Linked DNA regions of Neodiprion lecontei. The protein of the gene in region 2 interacts with the protein of the main gene of each other region in a pairwise test. Links are inferred from orthologs where the notes say so. Each region holds a gene or a part of one and is shown on either strand. Other genes may lie near its edges. The genes, in order: DNA repair protein RAD51 homolog A, DNA repair and recombination protein RAD54-like, translation elongation factor 2 and 26S proteasome non-ATPase regulatory subunit 7.

Region 1 (3,702 bases), on a different chromosome or scaffold from region 2:
AGTTGTATACTTTTTATCTTCCCAACGAACGACGATGAGCTGGGATCAAAATTATGCGCGATGATAAAACTGACACGATTGCGTCATTGATAACTTAACCTAACAGCAATTTTCGCCGGCTGCTTGTGTCACGCACGGGTGTCATGTGTACTACACCCATGAGAGGTATACCTATAACAATCACGTATATATATTTCAGTGGTAACAACTCACCAGGATGAAGGACATTAATTAAGGATGGCTAAAAAATTCTCTTTTTTGTATCGATAATTTACCAATCGAATTTTTCTAGCATCGATTCCAAGTGTGTAAGAATCGAATTCGATTTTCAAATCTTGAACTAAAAAAAAATTTTAAAGTCCATAATTCCATCGGCTTATTCGTGTATAAATAAATAAATAAAATTGCCTAAGGAGTTCAGATGATTATGTTAAAAAATGTTCAAGGCTCTGGAATAACGAATGAAAATGATTTATAAAAAAGCAAAGAAAGTTTATTTCATTATCATTTGCGTTTTCTTTGTTAATTGATAATACACATTTTAAATTACTGCCCATCAAACAATTTTTACACAAGGGGAATTATTCATTTATTTATTTATATATCGTAATTAAATTGCTTAACGATTACTGATAAATTAAACATTACAATCTACGATAGAAATACGTTCTCATATATAAAAATATTAAATCTTTTATCTTAGAGTTATATTATCCTATATAGTATATCGTATCACAAAACTTTGTCAACTCGTTATCAAAATTATTCTTTAGCGTCCCCAATGCCGTCCGAATTTATAGAAAACATAGCTTCGCTCTCGGGAAGACAGGGCGAGTCATATATTTTGCAAACTCTAGTCTCGCCCCTGCCCTTCCTCAAGTACAATCTTGTGGTACTGGCGTGAGCGATGATGTTACCGCCGATGGGCTTCTTCTGATCGCCGCCAAACATACTGGCCGCGCCGTCGACCTGGGCTACAACCTGGTTCGTTATTACGACTGCTACGCCGTGCTCGTCGGCAATTCTCAGAAGCATCCTTAGAAACCTAGCAAGGTGCATTTGTCTGGCGGACAATTCCCCCCTACCCGAATAGTCCGTTCTATAGAGACCTGTGGCGCTGTCGACAATTAGCAGCGCGTATCGAGACTCTGTCATCATCGCAGAAGCTTGAATGAGCAGCTGTGTCTGGTGGTCGGTATTGAAGGCTCTAGCACAGGCGACATTGTCCAAAACAGACTCGGAGCTGATCTTGTACCGTTCAGCTACTGCGATTATCCTCTCGGGACGAAACGTGCCCTCCGTATCGATGTAAAGGCACTTTCCTTCTCCACCGCCCATGTCCACTGGCAACTGGCAGTTGACCGCAAGCGTATGACATATCTGCGTTTTGCCTGTTCGGAATTCCCCGAATATCTCGGTTATCGAACCCGTCTCAATCCCTCCACCCAGGAGCCTGTCCAGTTCCGCGGATCCTGTCGTTAGATATACAGTGTTCGCCCTGTACTGATGGATCTCGGTTGCAGTCTTAAAGCCCATCACCACCATCTTGTACGCAGCATCCAGTATTTTCTCTACCTTTGCCTCGCTCAGCCCTTTTATCGTGGTGAGCTGCTTCTTTGGCGTGTACGCCACTGACTCGACAGTGTAGTAACCCGCTTCCTGCAGTTTTTTAACATCACCCGCCGTAATGCCATTACCCTGAAAAAAGAAACATGCATTTTACACTTTGATACTTGTTCCGACGAGCGGTGAGAAAACAAGCTAATAGGCGGGAATATTTTATGGTTAGAGAGAGTTCACTTAATCCTCAGTTGGGCCGATTTAGGTTAGGTTGGGTAACACACTTCTTCGCATTCATTACTCACTTCTATAGCCTTTATCAGTTTCGCCTGTGGATTAAACTCTTCTAAATCCTCGTCGCCCTGGATAGACGCAGTAGTTGCCGTAGCCGTTACCGACATTGAATTAATTTTTCGCCTGCTGGACGAAGCGAAAAAAGAACCTTCTACGCGATCCTGTCAAATTTCGAGTCGGGTCACAACGTTGTTTCCCGCCGTAATAATATTTACGTAACACGTATACCGACTGAAAATTACCGACGGTCCGATAACGTTGTTGTTCTGTTTCAGTCAACCGACTTGACCGGTAAATCAGACTGCTATGCTCATCGATTAAAAAAACCACAAGAGCCGTGACGTCAGACGTGAAAAAACCACCGCTGCTGCCCCACTCCTCCGCCTTGGTTGTACAGTACCTGCCACTGGTTGGGTGGCCAAACGACGAAGCAGCAGGTCGTTAATTCATTAATACAAGCTCATGTTGTCACATAAGAGTCTGCCGAGCATTAGAGAAGTCAAAGCAGAGCCAAACAGCGCGGAATTAGTACGAGCTAGAAGGTAGCGATACATAGACAGGATGGCAGCTCTTGGAAGGAAAAACTCAACGACGACAACAACGGCAGCAGCTGCGGCTATAACCACAGTTCTATTCGACCTGGACAACACGTTGATCGAGACTAGAAAGGGGGATAGTTTAGCGTGTAGAAAGGTACGTGCTGAAAAATAAATCAGCCAAGACGTCGGTCACGCGTTCATCTTGCTTTCGTTTATTTTCACCGATTCATTGCTACCTGCAGTGCGTGTGTGCGTGTATGTCGTATATCTCGTCGCCGCAACGAATAAAATGAGAGGGAAACGGGGGAAACGGGCCAGACAAAAATGAAAAGAGAAGAAAAAATTACGGATCGAAGAAAATAATCCGTACATAGACACCCGTTTGCTTCTCATTCTCTCGCTCGCTTTCAACTAGTTCGCTATTCGCGTTGCGAACGAACGAATGAGGCGGCGAGCGGGGCGAGCTATCTCTGGAAAAATACCGCCAACGTATGTTTCGCACTGTGCGAGCTACTTTCGAAGGGCACGTGACGTCACGGCATCGCGACGCGGATGTGCGCGTTTTATTCGATTCGATTGAAGCACCGAAAATTTTCGATGATCCAATTACGTTGGCAGCAGTGCTCGCTTCTCGTCGCTAAAAAACATTCGCATTGATCTGCGTCAGCTGAAGTTTAGATGCTCGTTATAGCGTAGCAATTTGTAACTCGATTTACAAACACCACTGATTAAACTCTCTACATTTAATTATTTCAATCCATTGCCCAGAATCATAGTGTCAACAGGGTTCGCACGCACAGGGTAAACTCACAAGAATTTTAAAGTAAGACTGAAATTTTGAGTTTGTCGAACAAGTAAACTCGTTCTTATATACAAAGTACTGTCGATCTTAATAAAAAAAATTGCACGTAAAATTTTGTTTCGTCGCACCACTTCATACATTCTATGTATATTACTTAATACCAAACATTCTTTCGATTTTTTTCTTACGGAAAATCGCAGGCTGTCGTTTGTAAATTGTTAGATAGTAAGTTAGTTATTAAGTAATATCGAAGATATTAGTATTAATGTAAAAAAATTAGCGGCATATTTCTTTGAAGGCTACTGGATAAATCCTATTTCCAGGCTGAAACGCTTAGAAACATCGGGGACTTTTAGATTCCAAAAAGCGTACGAACTCTGGTCAACTTGACCTATGAAAGCTTATTCTACACATTCTACACACTTTAGTGCAGAATTCTATCCGTCTTATCCATTATCCTCGCAGTTACTCGTCAGTTTGATGTGTAACCTTTTAATATTAAACCGA
Region 2 (7,493 bases):
GTATACGCATGAAGTTGGCGGTGGGGTAAGATGCCGAAAACAAAAAGCATCTAGAAAACAAAACTTCCTATTTTCATAACAAGATGTGCGCTGAGAAGTCGAACGTGGAGTATTTTCAAATAAACTCATTTAATAATAAAGTTGCTGTTGCTATGAAGTTAGTGTCAAGTGATTGACAGCTGTCATCGGCTGTTTATGACAGTCTTTGACAAATATCTTTATAGTTATCTGTTTCTGACTCACAAAAAATAAATATGCAAATGAGAATTATTAAGATGATTCCCGACGGGAATTGTCGTTTTCGCGCGCTGGCGTATTGTGTACACGGCACTCAAGATCGACACGCAGAGGTGAGACAGAGTATCGTTTCGAATACAGTTGATGATTGGTCTACATTTGCGGCTTTTATTACAGGTAATGACTCAAACGGTGCCGTGATTATGTCACCTGGTCACAAATCACACATGAATAAAAATGGAATTTACGGGGGAGAAGCAGAATTAGCTGCAGCTGCGGACATTTTTAAGACATGTTTAATCGTGTATCGCGGAAAACAAATTAATCCACACCAAATCGGATCCCAAGATGAAAGACAATTCTCGCCACTCTTCACCGGCGACGGAGACAGTGGACAAAACCAGTACAAATCAGCATAAATGAATTCACCTGTCTAATAGACAATGTATAAGGAAATAGTGGGGCGCGAAGCGCGCAGGGGCGAAGCCCCTAGTATACAATAAAAATGTACATATAAATTAATTGAAACATGAAAGCTATCCATTTGTATAACTAAGAACTTATACGACATTTTATGAAACAGTTTATTTAATTTTTAATACTATTCTCATTCTTTGTTGTCACGGAATGACGATTTTACTATAAAAATCATTTCGGAGAATTATTCACACCTGAGCTCCACATTATTCTAAACTTATATTATAATACATCACAATTACTTTTGTTATCGAATATCAAAGAATACGAAACATTTCTACAAACTGAACTTCGAATCATTATTATTATTATTATTATTATTATTATTATTATCTTTCGCTGAGTGAAAACTGTTTATAAACGAAAAAAAGTATTTTATAAAACAAATTGATGTTTTCGTGACCGCCTTTAGGGATCTGTTTTATGCCATTACAAAATCGATGAATGGAAAAAATAAGAGACAGGAATGACAGACATCATATTAACGTATTTAACAGGAACTAGTTGCAACTAGATACAAAGCTGATTGCAATTATTTTCGTACTCCTCTTAAAGTACGCTTCAATTATTAAAATGACGTTCTACTATAGTCTGTATACATTTCATTCTTCGGCTTTAACGAGTTCGTGTGACCGATGATGGAATACAAAGGATATGCCACTAGCCCAGCACTGCCGAAGTGGCAGATCGGGTAAATGACGAGGATTGTTGGCATGTCTCCAATCCGACAAGTCAGAATTGCAGTCTGTTCCTTCGGGTGGGCCGCGAACCTCCACTCCATTTACGCACCTCTTGCACTTGAATCTACATAAACAATAAAAATGAATATAAATCATAATATCGTGACAACAGTGCTTGTCTTTATACTTTGGGATTATAAGAAATCGAGCATGGTCAATGATAATGTTGATAATGGTGAAAGTTTAATACGAACTTTGAATGGGTATCAGATGTGGTGTTTTCTTCCAACGTGAATAGATCGCGCAAGTCGCTTAAAGTAAAGTGCCTCGCCACATCATCTTCTTGGTCAACTACAGTCGAACTTAATGCTTTCTTGTGGGCCTGTCTTTGGAATATCTTTTCTTCTATTGTACCAGTCTGAAAATTCAAATATTGTATTTGTTTGCAAATAATTAAGACTAAAAAGGCTAATATTCCATCACTGTGAGAATGTATTATTATTTACACAAAGCAAGCGATAAATGAAGCAAGGCTTTTTTTGTCCGTCTCTCCAAACTCTGGCCATAGCTTGGTCATCGTTGGCGGGATTCCAGTCAGGATCAAACATAACTAGTCGGTTTGCGCCAATCAAATTAAGCCCACATCCGCCTGCCTTAGAACTCAGCATGAATATAAAATCGCCGCTGTTTGGATCATTGAAACTATCTACGACTTTGGATCTCTTTTTTATAGTCATCGATCCATCAAGCCTAACATAACGATATGTACGCTTTCGACATAACTTTTCAAATAAGTCCAAGGTCTGTGTATAATTTGATACCAACACAACCTTATCCGTTGTAGTTGACTTTACCAACGCCAGTAAACAATCCAAGACCATCAATTTACCAGACAGCTCTGGCAAGACATCTCTGAAAGTTAAATAAAAATGGTAATGCACAAGCATACAAGATAGCCGCAAGTAATAATTAACAAACATTTTACAAAACACTACTGTATTTACTTTAAACTATAGTTTGGAGGTAGAAGTTCTGCAGCATTTTCGAATCCTTCAGACTTTTCCAGAATTTTTTCGTACACCAGATCAGGATGATTACAAAGTTTTTTGAGTAGTGTAATAGCGGACAATGCTGAAAGACTACCTTTCTTGCCAGTGCCAAATTCATCACCTAAGTAATAAAATTTTGATAGTAAAGAGACTTAGAAAAAAGAAACAATATTATTCAGTGTAATTAGCACGAAACAGGTTGCTGAACAATTAAAAGAACATAAAACATACAGAAGTGGCTGACAGCAGATATAATGATTTGCACCTTCTACTTGCCTTGCATAGATTTTCTGATACTGTCGCTTTTGATGAAATTTTGATACAACTGAGTTTGCAATTTGTTAAGTTTAACGCAAATGACCATTTCATGTTTCACAGGTAAATACTTTGACAATAGCGCACTTGTACGTCTTATCAAGCATTTGTTTACTATTGTTACCAGCTCTTGAAGACATTCTTGCGCTCTTTGGCGCTCCGAGTCAGTTGCTCCAGCATCTTGACCTTTCAGGATCGGGATTTCAAATTTCCGACGGAATTCCTAAATAAAAATTCATGTAACCTAGTAAAGAAATAACATTTTTTGCCAAGTCTATTGGGTCTTCAATTCATACTCATTATAAGAAATATATTATGCCTGTGCTAAGTTTTAACAAATTAGCTCTTGAGTTTACCAACTAAAAGTAAAACTGACGTGTTTGATGTGAAGATAGTAAAATGTATCAGTGTACCTGGGCAGTTCCAAGAAGTCCTTGATTCACAAAATGAACCAGTGAGAAGTACTCGAGTAGGTCATTTTGAATGGGTGTTCCACTGAGTAATACACGTCTTTTTGCTTTTAAACCCATAAGTGCCTGATAAGTTTGATTTTCACTGTTTTTCAAACGATGACCTTCATCACACAATACTAAACCAACGTCATCCTGATGTAAAACGTGAGCGTGCAAACGAAACGTTTCATAGCTGATTATCAAAATTGGGTTTGCACATCTGTATAGAATGAGTTCAAATTTTCATTTTAGATATTCATAAAAAAAAATTTGTCACAAGTTTCGAAGTAGTTCTTTGACCAATCACAAAATTAAAATGTGTTAGCATTGAGTGAAGGACAAAAATACTTTTAACAATTACAATACGAACTTGATTTAATAATTTGAGGGCGTTTTTTAAATAAAAGAAAAGTTTGTATAAGCATACCTACGTCCATAGGTCTTCATAAATCCTTTTAATTTGTTGTCAATGTCTGTTTTACTCCCACCATCAATGGCCAAGGGATTCACTCGTCTGCCAAGCCACTTATGTATTTCGTTATACCAATTTTTTACTAGAGAACTAGGCGCCACTATCACAGCTTTTTCAATAAGTGGTTTAGCTTCTGGTCCTTCAAAAATATAAATACTTTGTGCAGTTCATGGTGCTTACATGTACCAAAGTGGTAATTTTCTAACTGATATTGTTATACCTTGTTTCAGCAAAGTCCACAACAATGTAATACACTGCAGAGTCTTACCAAGACCCATTTCATCAGCCATTATACAGCCATAAGCATTTTCGATCCGTTTCCCGGTTACACACTCATACATAAATTTAACACCTTCTCTTTGATGAGGTCGCAATATATTACACAGAGCTGGGTCAACTACTACGTGAACAAGTTGTTTGGTCCTGCATGGCAAAACAGAAAATTAACTACGTTTTATTAATTCAACTCGAATATGGTAGTTATTTCCAAGAAGTATGTGTATGGAGTAGTATACTAACAATCATCCATATAAAAATAAAACAAAGTATGTTCAAATGAACTCACACATTAATTTGCTTGTCACGCTAATTACTGACTTGATGTAATACATCAACTAGTATTTGTTTAGATGGTCCAAAGATATGACAATATAACTTCAGTTTTAAAAACCAGACATAATTTGAATTAAACAATACTTCTCAACCTGAGTTATTTAATAAATGTACCAATTGAGGTGGTATAAATGCAAAACAAATTGCATACGTGTCTAGTTTCAGTTTGTCGTGTTCAGATAATTCAGGTGGTGTGTAAACAACCAATGCATTAGCCTCATCAGGATCGTGGAGCGGTGTTCGAGGTCCCAACATACGCATACCAAGAGATCTGTTAGAGAGTTGATAACCAGGAATTGGAATTTTAAACGGCCGGTTCAATAACTTTCGTATTCTCTCCTCCTGTAAATACAAATATATTTGGTCCGTCGCTCTTAACACAAGCATTATAAATTCCATGTAACAATCATAATTTTGATTAAGGTAACTTCAATGCGGGAAAATTTATAGATTGAAATAGGTTTCATTCCAAAACTTAAATGAATTTAGCTTACATGTTCGGATAATGATTCTGGAGTAACGGCAATTGACAGTTGTACGAGTGGCTTACGTGAGATTTTAATTTCTTTCAACTCGGTCTTCAACCGTTTCTCTCTTTGTGGTATGGTGGAGCGTGGCTGGAGAGGAGAAAACTCTCCAGGTCGTTTGCCTTTTTGGCTTGGAGCGCTTGATCTCATCTTTAATATAAATCCTACATTTAATTCACTATATCTTTGAACATAGTGATAGAGAATAACTCAATCATACAAGATACTAATTATTTGCAAATAGAAAATGGTAAACATAAATTGCATGATTGTTGAATGTCTGGAGTCACAGATACAAAATAAGCAAATCCATATTATATAATCGTAGAAATTTTGGCATTGACATCTTCAACTAGGAAAAAAATGTTCACAATTTTCCACTTTATACACCTAACACATCACATTTGAATTTTGTTCAATCTTGTTGAGAAAGCGACAGCATACCCACAACAAAATTTTCAGAGCTTATAGAACATACTCGTGAGTATTCTACGAGTTTCTTCTAATGTATAAAAAAGAATTTTATTTTTCATTTCATTTCTTTCATGAGAAGTTGAAAACAGCCTAGACTTGATGAGATTTTTTTCTAACAACCTGTGAGAATTGGCAATTTATTTTTGACCTTATACACTTGCATCTGTCGATTATATGTAACCAGAGTTGTGAACATGCAGACAAATTTTTACATTCATAAACTTTAATTTGGAAATGTTCAAAGATTAACATGAAAAAAATTGAGGTTAGATTTTTGGAAAGCAAATTATCGTATGTTTACCAAAGTGAAAAACCGTCTTTCTTCTGAAAAACTTATTATAAGATTATTGCTGTCACTCACCATTTTTCTTGATTTTTATATCACTCGAGCATTGTAAAGTACCAATCAGAAATACAATTACAATTATAGGACAGCCACAATTCGAATATGTATTTATATTTGAAATTCTACAAATTGGCGCGACCATAAACACAAACTTATGAACATCAACCACGGTCTTACACACAGGTTTGGTAACTCCGGCACTTTTGAGTGGTAGGGGGTGTCACCGTTAGTGAGGCACGCGGTCTTGTTTCCTATCTACCCGCTAGGGGCGCCATTGGCCCGGGGTATGATACATATAGATATATACCGATAGTTTTGAGACAGTTTGACACACACTTTACACCGAGTTATGAACTCTCAAAAACTTCGATGAGCAGGTAATCTTACCGGTAATACCGATGTCGTGTATACAGGTCTAGGCATGGTCGTGTATACAGGTCTGGGAACTCCGTCCAAAAACCTGTGCCTCTAACTGAGGCCGATATTTCCAAATTTCGCCACGTCGATAGTGACGGAGGGGCATGCGCGCACTACAGCCCCGCTAATCACACACGTGCCCCCGAGATTGCAGCGCTCCGCACTTTTGCGGCTAATGTCGGAAACATGTGTCTCAGATAGAGGCACACTGTGGGGTATACGAAATATATGGGAGTGCCCAGACCTGTATACACGACCGTGAACCAGAGCGAGAGCACGAGATCTTATTGTTAGAGGTTATACGAATGATAGCGACGAGAGGCTGTCGTCGTGGTTTCTCAGCTTCTCCTGTCGACTGCTTCGCCGGCTATTGGTACATAAAATACGAGTAGAAAGGAAACAAAAGTCGAAAAAATAAAGTTAGCCACGGTGCATGCATCAATGGACATTACTTTACGTACTACGGCCTTTATCAAAAGATACTCATAGTTATAATCTACTGTTATTCCGCATCAAAGGAAGTTGAAGCATGTATAGTTAGACCTTGCACCGTTACACATTCATTTAATTTTGAAAAGTGAGCATTGACAATATTATTGTTACGTTTCCGAAAGGTGGAGTTGAAAATGTTGAAGAGGTTGTTCGAAAAGAGATACGTGATTTGTAGCTACCTACAATAAAAAGAGTACCGAAAACGGTAATCGAAGATAGTGTAGCAAGAAGATAACTCGAGAATTTCCATGCGCGTATTTATAATTAAACATGCAGATCACTGTGCCACAAACCATAATCATCCTTATCATATGAAAATATTTTTTTGGAATATTTAGCGTTACAAGTGCGCATCATAGATTTTTATTATTGTTAAGTGAAAGGCGTGTTAGCCCAAAAAGTACAGACACGCGGCATTAGGCGTTGATATACGTGTCAAAAAAAGTAGATGATTGGTTGCAAAATCTGCCAAAAGCATAAAGACGAAGTGCTATATACATAACCTTAGGCCGAATATGAAATATGTTATATTAGATAGTTATTATTGTACGTCGTAATGGGGTTTATAAGCTCTGGCCTGCATGCACGTGCAATAGCCCACTGCAGGAAGCGATACCTATAGTACAATATTATATTGTTATTATCTGATGTAACCATTATTGAAATAAATCAATGAACAAATTGATTCTTTCGTATTTTCTCCGTATCTTCTGAGCTGTTTGTGTTACGATCTCTGATCTCCTTTTTTTTGGTATGCTCGGGGTTTAATTGGTGGGTCATTAGAATCGATTTAAAGGAAAATGTTTTTTACCCCAAGATGAAAGAAATAACAACACCAACAGCAGCAGCAGCAGCAGCAGCACTAGCTACTACTAGCTACACTAGCTACTACTAGCTACTACTAGCCGGACCCGAATCCAAAGCACTTACCAGCAATGCAGCA
Region 3 (5,043 bases), about 16 Mb from region 2:
TCAGGCTTCAAAGTGATGCCCAACTTTTGCAATAGACTCTCAGCTTCGTCTTTCTTGTAGTTCATGATGCAGTCGAATACCTGAAAAAAAAAAAAAAACATATTTCATAAGTAAACATGTACTTCGTGTAACGAATACTAAAATAGCCATAGAACTGAATCACACTGACATACTCTATTATACTTGCAGTTTGTTAGTCACTTTAGACTACACAAAAGAATAAAAATGCATTCTAAATGTGCATAACACTCTAGAAATACCAATTGATAGTACAGTGAAAACTTTGTTGTTTCAATGCATTGTCTTTCGTTCAGTAATCAATAAACTTGAGACACAATATACATAATATGTTTTAGAAATACCTTGTAGATGGGATCAAGGACATACATGCAGAAGGACCGCTTGTTGTCAGCTTCCTTTTGCTTGCTCCACTTCTTGGTCTTTGGGTTGAAAAAGGATTCACCCCAGAGTCGATTCATCAGTTTCACAACATCAATCTTGAATTTCTCAGCATACATTTCGGAAAACTGTTTCAATGTAAATGCCCATCCATGGAGTCCAGACCCGAAGCCCACAGATCCCTTGCTAGGGTCAACCTTTAGAAAGGAAAAATTAATATTTTAATTGGTTCAATCTACAAATTATTAATTGACGGTGATGAATTGTGGAATTTGTTAGGGTATTTTTCACACAGCACGGATAACTTACACGAACTTCTCCCATGGGACCATCGTCGTCTGAGTAGGTGGCAATGATGACATTCACATTTTCAACAATACGCTGGAAAGTCTGGTACAAATCTTCACTTTCCAACTGCAGCTCAAGCAAAGCACGGTCCATTTTGTTCATGAACAATACAGGCTTGATACGTTCGGCAATAGCTTGACGAAGTACTGTTTCGGTCTGTACGCACACTCCTGCAGAAAAGTAGCCAATTGAAATCCAACACAACTTGGTCATTGTGATTTTTATCAAACACAATTCAAAGGAATTAATTTGTTTTGTAGGAACAAGGTCGTAGCATGCCAGTATCGGACATAAAGATAGAGGTCCACTGACAGCGTTTAAACAAAGTGACATATTTGATCTTCTTCCATAAATGCACTGCAAACACTGTCAAAGTGCACGGAACAGCTTTTCAAGAAAAATTGTTCGGCGCACTACAGAGTTGCCCTGGTGTGCTGGAAGGTGTACAGAAAATTATATACAATCCAGCTTACCAGAAACACAATCGACGACGACAAGAGCTCCGTCAGTAACACGCAGAGCAGCCGTTACCTCACTTGAGAAATCCACGTGCCCAGGAGAGTCAATCAAATTAATCAAGAATCCTTTCTCTTCTTTGTCACGTTGGTCTGGATTCGTGATGAAAACGCAGTCCTTCTCGTCAAGTTCAAAGTACATGGATATGGCACTAAAGAACAGTATTGTAAAATGAATGTAATATCAGTAGCAGATTTGAGCTATTCGAATTTTTAAATAAATCATTTTCTGTTATCAAATGCTGTAATAGCAATATTTGAAAAAATAAACTAAATACTCACGTTGATTTGATGGTAATGCAACGTTCCTGTTCATCTTTGCGAGTGTCTGTGAATCGGGTCTCACCAGCTTTAGCACCGGCAATAATACCGGCCTTAGAAACAAGGGAGTCAGTCAATGTTGACTTTCCGTGATCGACGTGGGCGATGACGGACATGTTTCGGATGTTTTTCTTTTTGTCCATCATCCCACGGATCTCGTCTACCGTGAAGTTCACCTAAAGTATAATCATAAATTTTCTTAAATACACATAAGCCAAGTTTATTTTTCAATTAATTTAAACTCTGCTAGTAATGATTGGCAACTTTGTTCAGGTAATTACAAAACAAAATGTTTCTCATAGCAATGTAAAGTTATGGTAGAAAAAATAAATTATGAAATTGAAAATAGCCTGTAGTCAGTGGACAATGAAGGAGTTTTCTTAGCCTGTTCATAAGCATGATTAGATAAATAGATATTTCCACAGTAAATAAAAACTAATTGGTTTAAAGGTCATACTGCAATCCTAACTGTTAGGATTAAAAATATTTTCCAGACAACCGTTAATTATCAACGGTTGCCTCCTTTGGTCAAATATTTGGAAAAGCTTGGATATCCCTAGTATGCTTTTGTCAGATATAATACATATTACGTAGTAAGATTCCAAACATATTGTTTAATTTGGAGACGGGTATCCTAATCTAAGATTAGTATCTGAATAGATATGATTAAGTTTGGTAGTTGGTCGTCCATTAAACAAATATACCCATATGTAGCTTCAGTTAAATTTTTTCCGCTTCTACTTTCATTTCTCTTCCGGAATATTGATACTCTCTCTTCCATATTGGTAAATTAATCGCCTAGAATTTCGAAAAGTAGGAGAGTCCGTGGGAAAAGCTATAATTAATAAAGCGTATAAGCAAGGCTCGGCCAATATTGTGAGAGCATGTAAACTCGAGAAAACTGGTGAATATGGCAAGAGGATCGTCATGTTGGCTTGTGACACGTTGTCGGGCAATGTCTGTGAGGGATGCGATCGACATATTCTACAGATTTGCATCGTTCAGTTCGGATTCGACATACGAAATTTGGAAGCATATAGCCGTTAAGAATATGGAAGAGGGTTCGGCGTAATTCTTATTAGGATAGGTCCTTGTCGAGAATGGTAATTCATTCTCAAGCAATGACGTTCGGAGGGTTGCGCAATCCAGAGCAATCCTGGAGTTTTTAATTTCTTTCATTACTCCCCGACGCTCGGGTGTAAAAAATAAACACGTTATTTCACTCTCCGATTCATGCGGAATTCGATTTATCCATTATCATGCTAAAATTCTACTTACCATTTTGGATGTTGTCCGATTTTCGTTAGCCTGGTCAGAAATATACGTGCGCCAACAACGGCGGACTCCCTGGGAAAGAATAGTCAAGCGGACTAGAGTGCAGTAAGAGGGCTATCTCTGTCACTATCTCTGTTCGTACGTCCTAGATGGCGCGCGCGTAGCAATACACACACTCTCCACACTAAATCCGACCAATCAGAGCTCTGATTTTCACGCATGCACAAAAAATATAACGGCGTCGGAAAACTGCTGCCACCTGACGGATGCTGACGCTGTGAAACAACCAAACCAATCTCTAAATGAGCTTGTATGCTATCATTGGAGGATTAGGGTTGCGTTATCCGCGATTAATTAACATAAGAAAAATAAATTAATGTTAGTTTTTTTTCTCACTAGTTTTATTATTCTTTTTTCAAACAACAACCGACTCTACCCAACCAAAAATATTCGTCTCACGTTTAATGCGTCACTCGTCGTCGCGTCGCAATTACTATCTTCCGGCTTTGCTTACATTGCATTTACTCGTCAATCTGCATGATCTGCGTGCAACACACCAGGTTTTGTAATATTGTGCAACAATATTCTTAACTCTATTTACTATGTTTGGTTTGCTTCGACGTACAGGATGATCTCAATGGAACCTGTATTCTTACGACTCTCTTATATAGTATAAACGTTTATCGTCTTCGATTAACATGATTACATATATTTGTCTGCAACGTATTATGTACTATTGTACTAGCATAAATATTCAAATTCTGATATTAGTTGTAAGTATATAATCGCATTAGTGAACTGAAATGAATGTAATATGCATCTCATCTTCATTTCCTTCTTGTTTTTACTCCTACAGAACGTCTGATCCTCTTTTTGTAGTAGGAGCCATTGCAGTGCGGTTCGTGTTTGAGCAAAGCGTCATTTCTGAAGGTTCTTCCACAAGTTCGACAAGGCTTCAACGAATTAAGATGATTTTCCCATATCCTATGAAATGTTGCGATAAAATCGCAATCACCTTCGGCTGAAAATAAAAATATTCATCTGTAGCCTACACAAAATAACGTCAGGAATTCTTAAAGAAATAACAAATAGTTATTCAAACAAATTATTTTTTTTCTGCAAAGATATATGTTATATATTTTTTCAAATCAATACATTATGCGTGTATACATAAGCGGTTAATAAATATTCATATAATTGTGATTGAATTTAAAAAATCAGAGGTAAAACAAAATATCTTAAACACATTCAAAAGGTGGAAATAGTAAAGATTTATTCCCGTCGAGTTTTGCGAATTCGCATGATTGCGCACGCATACAATATACACTTTACGTGAAGTTACTATTGCTGTTTATCCTCTTACGTTAATGATTTTTCAATTTTTTTTTCCTCGTTATTTTTTTTTTTTTAATATTGCTTCTCCTTTTTCACCGTGCACAGTTGTGTGTATTAAGGGAGCTTTCCAGTGTGAAATTTTCAAAAAATCGATTTTTTTTTTTTGCTATATCGAATAGTATACACTCTACCGAATATTCCCCGAAATTTTCATGCCGAAATTCAGATTATTTCGGTTACTGTAAAGCATTTCTTGGAAGAAGGCAACGGAGCGCTACAGCTGCCCGTGCGACCGTTATTTCTATTGTCTCGTTCCTACCTGCACGTACATGAACTTGGCTCGCCAATTGTCGAAAATGTGAATTCGGACTATTGCATAATTTGCCGTTAATTAGCCGTAAATTAGTCGCGCGACTTATTTTTTTGTCGCACTCAATTTTCAAAAAAAAAAAGCGATGTCCGGGCGCGAACACTCAAAACAATAACGAGAGCTTCAATCACTGTGTGTGGCAACTAGCCCCAAAGCACGTATTCTGCGGCAAGCAGATAGTAGAAATCGCTACGCAGTGTGCTTTGTGCACCTTCAATGAAGGTTACGACCCAATTTTAAAAATTTTGGACACGATGGGATGCACGATAGGGCCGAGTGCCGCAGATTTCGCCGCTAAGTACAAGAATGCGCGCATCACCCAAGCAAACCGCCGGGCATCCCTGGCTAGCAAAGAGGCGAGGACAGCTCGTCGGACTGAACAATCCATTGAGCACGATCTTTTCGAAGAAGCAGAAGGGATATTGTATGGACCTGGCATCGCTGATTGACCGTAAGTAAACGATTTACCTAAAATTTCCT
Region 4 (5,544 bases), on a different chromosome or scaffold from region 2:
CTCAAAAGACGACACGACACCAAAGTTGATGGAACAAATCAATGGCAACGACGATAATGTAAGAATAATAGAGGACAGTTCTTTCAATTGGTATTTTCAACACTACAATGACACAATCTTGGAACCCTATGTAGGATTAGTCGATAGTGGTGCTGACCACGTTAAAATTTTGATCACTCTCTCACCTGTGACTTATTTAATAATTTGTAGATTAATGTGAGCATAATATTGCGGAATATATTCTATCGGCAACTGCAGACTTTGGCCGGAATCCTGTTTTGACCTCACATTTATAATCTGACAAATTTTATATTTAGCATTGAAATACATATTCCGTGCGTGCAATTTATGAGTCAATCAATGGATCGCTTGGCTAAAGTAGCTAGATTGGTATGAGTCCGCTATAATGGTATCATTTTTTTCGGGGAGTTAAGTTCGCTGAGATTTGATTTTCACGACGGCTTTCTTAGCAAATATGAGACTAAGAAATGCGCATCACCTCGGATTCAGAGAAGGAAACGATAGAAAAATAATAAATTAGTCAAGAAAGTTACGTTTATTATAAAATACAATGTTAGTCAAGGTCCGTTTATGCTGCAGCGTAAAAACATGTTCCGTGAGAGCAAAACTGTAAATGATCTTTTTCGTGGGGCATGTATACTGGTTGTGAATCACAAAAGTACGGCTATATCGATGGTATCGTTCTATTTATTCTTGTTACAATACGGCTAAAAGTTGAAAAGAATGTTTGGAGGTTTTCAGAATCAGTGTATAAATTATTCGATAATGAAGTCACGTAATTCGCGGGTCAGGAGGAATATGTACACGAACTAAGCGCTTAATGAACATTTAGGTTTATTTCAAACCAGCAGTAACAAAACTACAATTAGTAAAATTTGAAACTTCTGCGTGAATTTAATAACGTTTGAGAATCTTGAGTTTCAAGTTACTCTCATATAGATACGAGTACATTTAATTCGAAAAACAAAAGAAAAAACACGTTCTGTTTACACTTTTTCGTAATCGCTGTTTTAAATACATCAAAGTCTAACGATGTAATATTAAGGCGTATTTCTGCGAGAAACTACAATTTTCCATCATCTCACTTTGATCACTTTCATTGTAACGAGGAAAGTAATAACATTATTATTGAAAATAGATTAAGTTGTGGTGTCATTCCGTCTAGGTCGTAAATGAGTTCGGCTTGGTTTAAAATAACATAGGCGACGAAATCAAATTACTCATTGCATCAGTGAAATAATTTATCAGTATTCAACACCATTTATTATGTATAAATCATTTAACTTTTGCCTTTTCCTTTTCATCTTTCTTCTCATCTTCTTTCTTTTCATCCTTTTTCGTCTCTTTCTTATCAGTCTCCTTTTTCTCTGCATCTCGATTCGTTAATTTGTTGTTTATCAAATTGTGCAGTGCTACGATTGACCTGACAAGAGCTGCTAAGTAAACTACCAGCATTTGATCATTTGTTTTGACATAGAGTGAATCGACAAACGTGTTTTGTGACATGTCAGGTAACAAGTTGAAGATATCCTGTAGCTGATAAACGATTTGATGATTGATCGGTAGTTTCCCATTGCCAACCTGTTATTTGCAATGAAGATATAATCGGGTGTTATTGGGTATGAGCTATACGTGAGAAATATGTAGTAGAAACATAGATCGATCGAACCTGGATAAGGTAGTCCTTAATTTCTCGAATTTGGGCATGAAGTCCTTTTAATCCAAGTAATTGGTTCGTTATTCTTTGACTGAGTGTACCGACGGTGGTATCTTTGATGTCCCTGAGCAAGTGTTCGACTCCAACTTCTTCAGCTTCCTCTGCTCCGATTTCACTCGGAATATGTTCAAAGGTTTTAGAAGTTGGTGATCCATCCTGATTCAAGCAAATAGTATGTATAATTGAGTCTTTCATCTACATTAGGCCGTTTACGTCAATTGAGCCACCTTTTTATCGTATGGTTAGCAAAATTTAATATATTCCACAGTGAATTGGTAATTGTATTAAGACTTTTGACAGTTCTGGTAAATGGTAATATAAATCATGGGGACGAAATACTTTGTTATTTCTGCTGCATGCACAGTAATGATAAGTTACCTTCTTTGAGTGTGCTATAAGAAAGTTTAGATCATAGAAAATTAGCCAGATCTACAGACAATGTTGGTTTAATTGATGCAGGAAAATCTATAAATGAACAAGATTTAAGAAAATCATAAATTGCGATGTATCTAGAGTAAGACGCTTACGTCATGGACTTCTTCAACAGCTTGATACGCTTCTGTGGGAAGACCTAAGTCCTTGGGTTTGGCATCGATGATTACCAGTACTGAGTTGGGACAATACCTACGGATTAATTCGTTGATCGCGACGTCGTTTTGATGTAATTTTGGTCCTGTATGATACCAGCCGACCACTTTTTCACGAGCTAAAATAAATTCAAATATTGTTAGGTACATGTTGTATAGCGATGCAGGGTTATCTTTTGAATGCATCATATAATCAATGGGGCACTAGTCGAATTGTTTTTAATCGAACAGACATCAATAACAAAAGAACGGCAATTCAAATAAGTTTCAGTATTTATGGAATTTTAGGCCCTTAGTGACTTGCGCAATCGATTATTCTTGCAAAGCCATGTCGGAATAGAATCAAACTTATTGACGAATTAGAATACAAGGAACTCAAAACCTGAAATCAAGATATCATAGCATCAACCGCTGAAAAAATATGGCAATATACTACCATTTTTTGCTGTTGCCAATTCATTGTCTAACAATAAGAGACTTTGACGGAGCTATCATTGCTTTCACAGTGAAAAACATACGTGGATATAATGTTTGAAGAGTCAGAAATTTATAGTAGTATTAGACTTGGCAGCGCTCGCTTTTTTCATCGGCGACTCTATTAACTTGCATCACTAGAGATTGGTGATAATTCTTTGTTGGGTCCAATCAAAAGGAATATGAATTATGTTCAATAAAAATCTTTACCATTAACTTTTTTGAACATGCTGTACATGTTTTCCAGGTAGTCATGGTCGAGGAACCACACTGATTTATCCTTGTCATCCTCGTCAAATGGGACTAGAAGTTGCAAAAATAAATGTATTGTATTATAAAAACTACTCAATAATGAGTTCAATAACAAGTTGCAGAGTATTTTGTTCACCTGCTTAAGCAGCCAGAGGTGGTAGAATAATATAAATAACTAAAGGATAGAATCTAACCTGCAAAACTGTTGGACACGTCTAATACTCCCTTGGCTCTCCAACAGCCCAATAATACGCCGACAACTCTTTTCTGGTTACCAATTTTTCCCATGCGATTAAAATGATCAACTACACTCAATAAAACTAGTGGATGAACCACTACTTTTGCTGTGGAGACCTCTTGACTCGGCATTTTTTGATCAGTTATTTCACAAACGTCGGAAATAGATTAGTTGCCGCTTATACTCAACAGTCAACACAGATCACAGATGACACAGGCTCTCAATTTCAACTTGGCTCTGCCGAGCTCTGCACACTGCAGTCTGCACAGTGTAAAGGTGGAATTTCATGAGCAGCAGAAAGCAGCAGCAGTTTAGTAACTTCCTAGATGTTACTAACAGCTGTCTAGTGATTTGACGCAGCAGCAGTGCTGCCAGAGATGAGTAGGGAGATTTCCAACGCTCGGCTTTTCGTGATACCAGCTAGGTTGAAGGTTTCTGGATGGAAATGTCCGTCGTTTGGTTCTATTCTAGGGAAAGTTGTGTTGCCTGTTTCATATTGGCAACAAGTGTGCCTTTTGCCTTACTCGTCGTACCAACCTATTCCACACTTTTTGGTTGAGACTGTAGTTGAGACATCCAAGAAAGTATTTGGTTTTTCTCAGTAAAGTAGCTGTTGAATATTCCATGGTTTAGTAAGAGAAAATAAAAAGAAATACGTGTAAGCTATGAGATACATGAATTTCTGTCACTAACCAATTCGTCACACGTTCGAAAACTGGTTTTTTATTATTATTACGTCATTTTACGGCCAACAGCGTTGCCAACAAAAGAGGACCACGTGTCAAAAGTTTATCCAAGCTAACCGACTTGCATATATTTTGTCCTTTGTTATTGTCTGATTAGCGAAATATTAGACGTACTAGGAAGATTTTGAATCAGATTTTAGGAGGAATACTTAATTTGTTTCAGGGCGCTAACCGTGAAGATTGAAAATGTCAAAGACGATAGTTTTCGTAACTGGAAATGCGAAGAAGCTTGAAGAAGTGATAGCAATTTTAGGAAAGAATTTTCCGAGAGACATCACAAGCAGGAAGATTGATCTACCTGAATATCAAGGAGAAATCGATGACATATGCAAGGATAAGTGCAGAGCTGCAGCGCGAATAGTTAATGGCCCAGTTGTGGTAGAAGATACTTCTTTGTGTTTCAATGCAATGAACGGTCTCCCCGGGCCATATATTAAGTGGTTTATGGAAAAGTTGGGTGTTGATGGTCTCCCCAAAATGCTAGCTGCTTGGAATGACAAATCAGCTCAAGCAGTGTGTACTTTTGGATACTGTGACGGTGATCCCGATGGCGATGTTAGTATTTTTAGAGGTATTACTGATGGGGTTATAGTCAATCCACGAGGGACGAGGGAGTTTGGGTGGGACGCATGCTTCCAGCCAGTCGGATACGACAAGACTTATGCGGAATTGCCCAAGGACATTAAGAACCAGATTTCACACCGTAGCAAAGCTTTAACAGAAATGAAAAATTATTTTTGTAATAATTTAGTGTAATAAATTATATATTACATAATGATGAGCATGTGTTTCTCTTTTTTCATTAGATGTTTGCTGTAATTCATTCTTTAGTTTCTCAGAAAACGTATGAACTACCAATGCTTAAGAGGATTAATGAGTTTAACGCTCAAATTTCAGCCGGAAACTGACAACAGTGACGGTTATTGGTGTTCCATGGAATCTCATTGACTGTCTTTCAAAGTATAAAGATTATTGTGGTTTGGGACGGTTTATATAACAGCTTCAAAATTCGAATATTCAGTAACATTCAATGATCCTTAGTCACATAATGAGATTACAATGGAATACATACAATACGTAAGTAAAATATGAGTAAGTTGGTTGTGGAGTGTTATTACCACAGAGTGACTACGCTGGAAAAACATGTGATTACTATTTATAAATTAATATAAATATCGTTGGTGATAAAATATGTTTATGCTGAAAAACTGCACATTTATGGGAAGTAGGTTGTATTGTGTATCTGTCTACCAGGGGTCAAGTTCAACGGTGATAATGTAGTCATAAATTTAGTGCCAGGAAAACAGGCAATTAAACATCAGGCTAACATATTGTATCAGGCTGAAATTTGTAACGTTAATGTAGCGATGTATGTTTGAAAAAAATCGTTATTGTGCAACTTTAGGATTACTTGAAATTTAGTAAACCATTACTGCAGCATTAACAAACTTATAAGGAAAGGTATTGAGGTGCCGGTGCCCCCTCCCCCCCCCCCCACCGAGCCCCCGA

What was found.
Region 1: the proteins of DNA repair and recombination protein RAD54-like (region 2) and DNA repair protein RAD51 homolog A interact in a two-hybrid assay, tested with the Caenorhabditis elegans proteins (3 studies listed by BioGRID). The link is inferred for Neodiprion lecontei from reciprocal best matches to the Caenorhabditis elegans genes rad-54.L and rad-51.
Region 3: the proteins of DNA repair and recombination protein RAD54-like (region 2) and translation elongation factor 2 interact in a two-hybrid assay, tested with the Caenorhabditis elegans proteins (2 studies listed by BioGRID). The link is inferred for Neodiprion lecontei from reciprocal best matches to the Caenorhabditis elegans genes rad-54.L and eef-2.
Region 4: the proteins of DNA repair and recombination protein RAD54-like (region 2) and 26S proteasome non-ATPase regulatory subunit 7 interact in a two-hybrid assay, tested with the Caenorhabditis elegans proteins (2 studies listed by BioGRID). The link is inferred for Neodiprion lecontei from reciprocal best matches to the Caenorhabditis elegans genes rad-54.L and rpn-8.

Annotation. Positions count from the first base shown.
Region 1 is NC_060266.1:1,583,425-1,587,126, reverse strand, and holds DNA repair protein RAD51 homolog A, read right to left. Parts: upstream 2,092-3,702; 5' UTR 1,962-2,091; coding exon 1,866-1,961; intron 1,699-1,865; coding exon 763-1,698; 3' UTR 515-762; downstream 1-514. Other genes in the region: N-acylneuraminate-9-phosphatase, read left to right, coding at 2,416-2,547.
Region 2 is NC_060260.1:23,067,522-23,075,014, forward strand, and holds DNA repair and recombination protein RAD54-like, read right to left. Parts: upstream 5,780-7,493; 5' UTR 5,660-5,779; coding exon 5,657-5,659; intron 5,289-5,656; exon of another isoform or gene 5,266-5,288; intron 4,972-5,265; coding exon 4,789-4,971; intron 4,637-4,788; coding exon 4,446-4,636; intron 4,106-4,445; coding exon 3,903-4,105; intron 3,822-3,902; coding exon 3,638-3,821; intron 3,431-3,637; coding exon 3,172-3,430; intron 2,982-3,171; coding exon 2,720-2,981; intron 2,565-2,719; coding exon 2,399-2,564; intron 2,307-2,398; coding exon 1,901-2,306; intron 1,813-1,900; coding exon 1,649-1,812; intron 1,519-1,648; coding exon 1,317-1,518; 3' UTR 533-1,316; downstream 1-532.
Region 3 is NC_060260.1:38,939,521-38,944,563, reverse strand, and holds the start of translation elongation factor 2, read right to left. Parts: upstream 3,017-5,043; 5' UTR 2,865-3,016; coding exon 2,862-2,864; intron 1,760-2,861; coding exon 1,545-1,759; intron 1,415-1,544; coding exon 1,221-1,414; intron 918-1,220; coding exon 709-917; intron 597-708; coding exon 363-596; intron 81-362; coding exon 1-80. UniProt on the Caenorhabditis elegans protein: Catalyzes the GTP-dependent ribosomal translocation step during translation elongation.
Region 4 is NC_060261.1:13,991,591-13,997,134, reverse strand, and holds 26S proteasome non-ATPase regulatory subunit 7, read right to left. Parts: upstream 3,549-5,544; 5' UTR 3,421-3,548; coding exon 3,246-3,420; intron 3,103-3,245; coding exon 3,010-3,102; intron 2,445-3,009; coding exon 2,266-2,444; intron 1,895-2,265; coding exon 1,691-1,894; intron 1,603-1,690; coding exon 1,297-1,602; 3' UTR 538-1,296; downstream 1-537. Other genes in the region: protein artichoke, read left to right, coding at 1-220; inosine triphosphate pyrophosphatase, read left to right, coding at 4,222-4,791.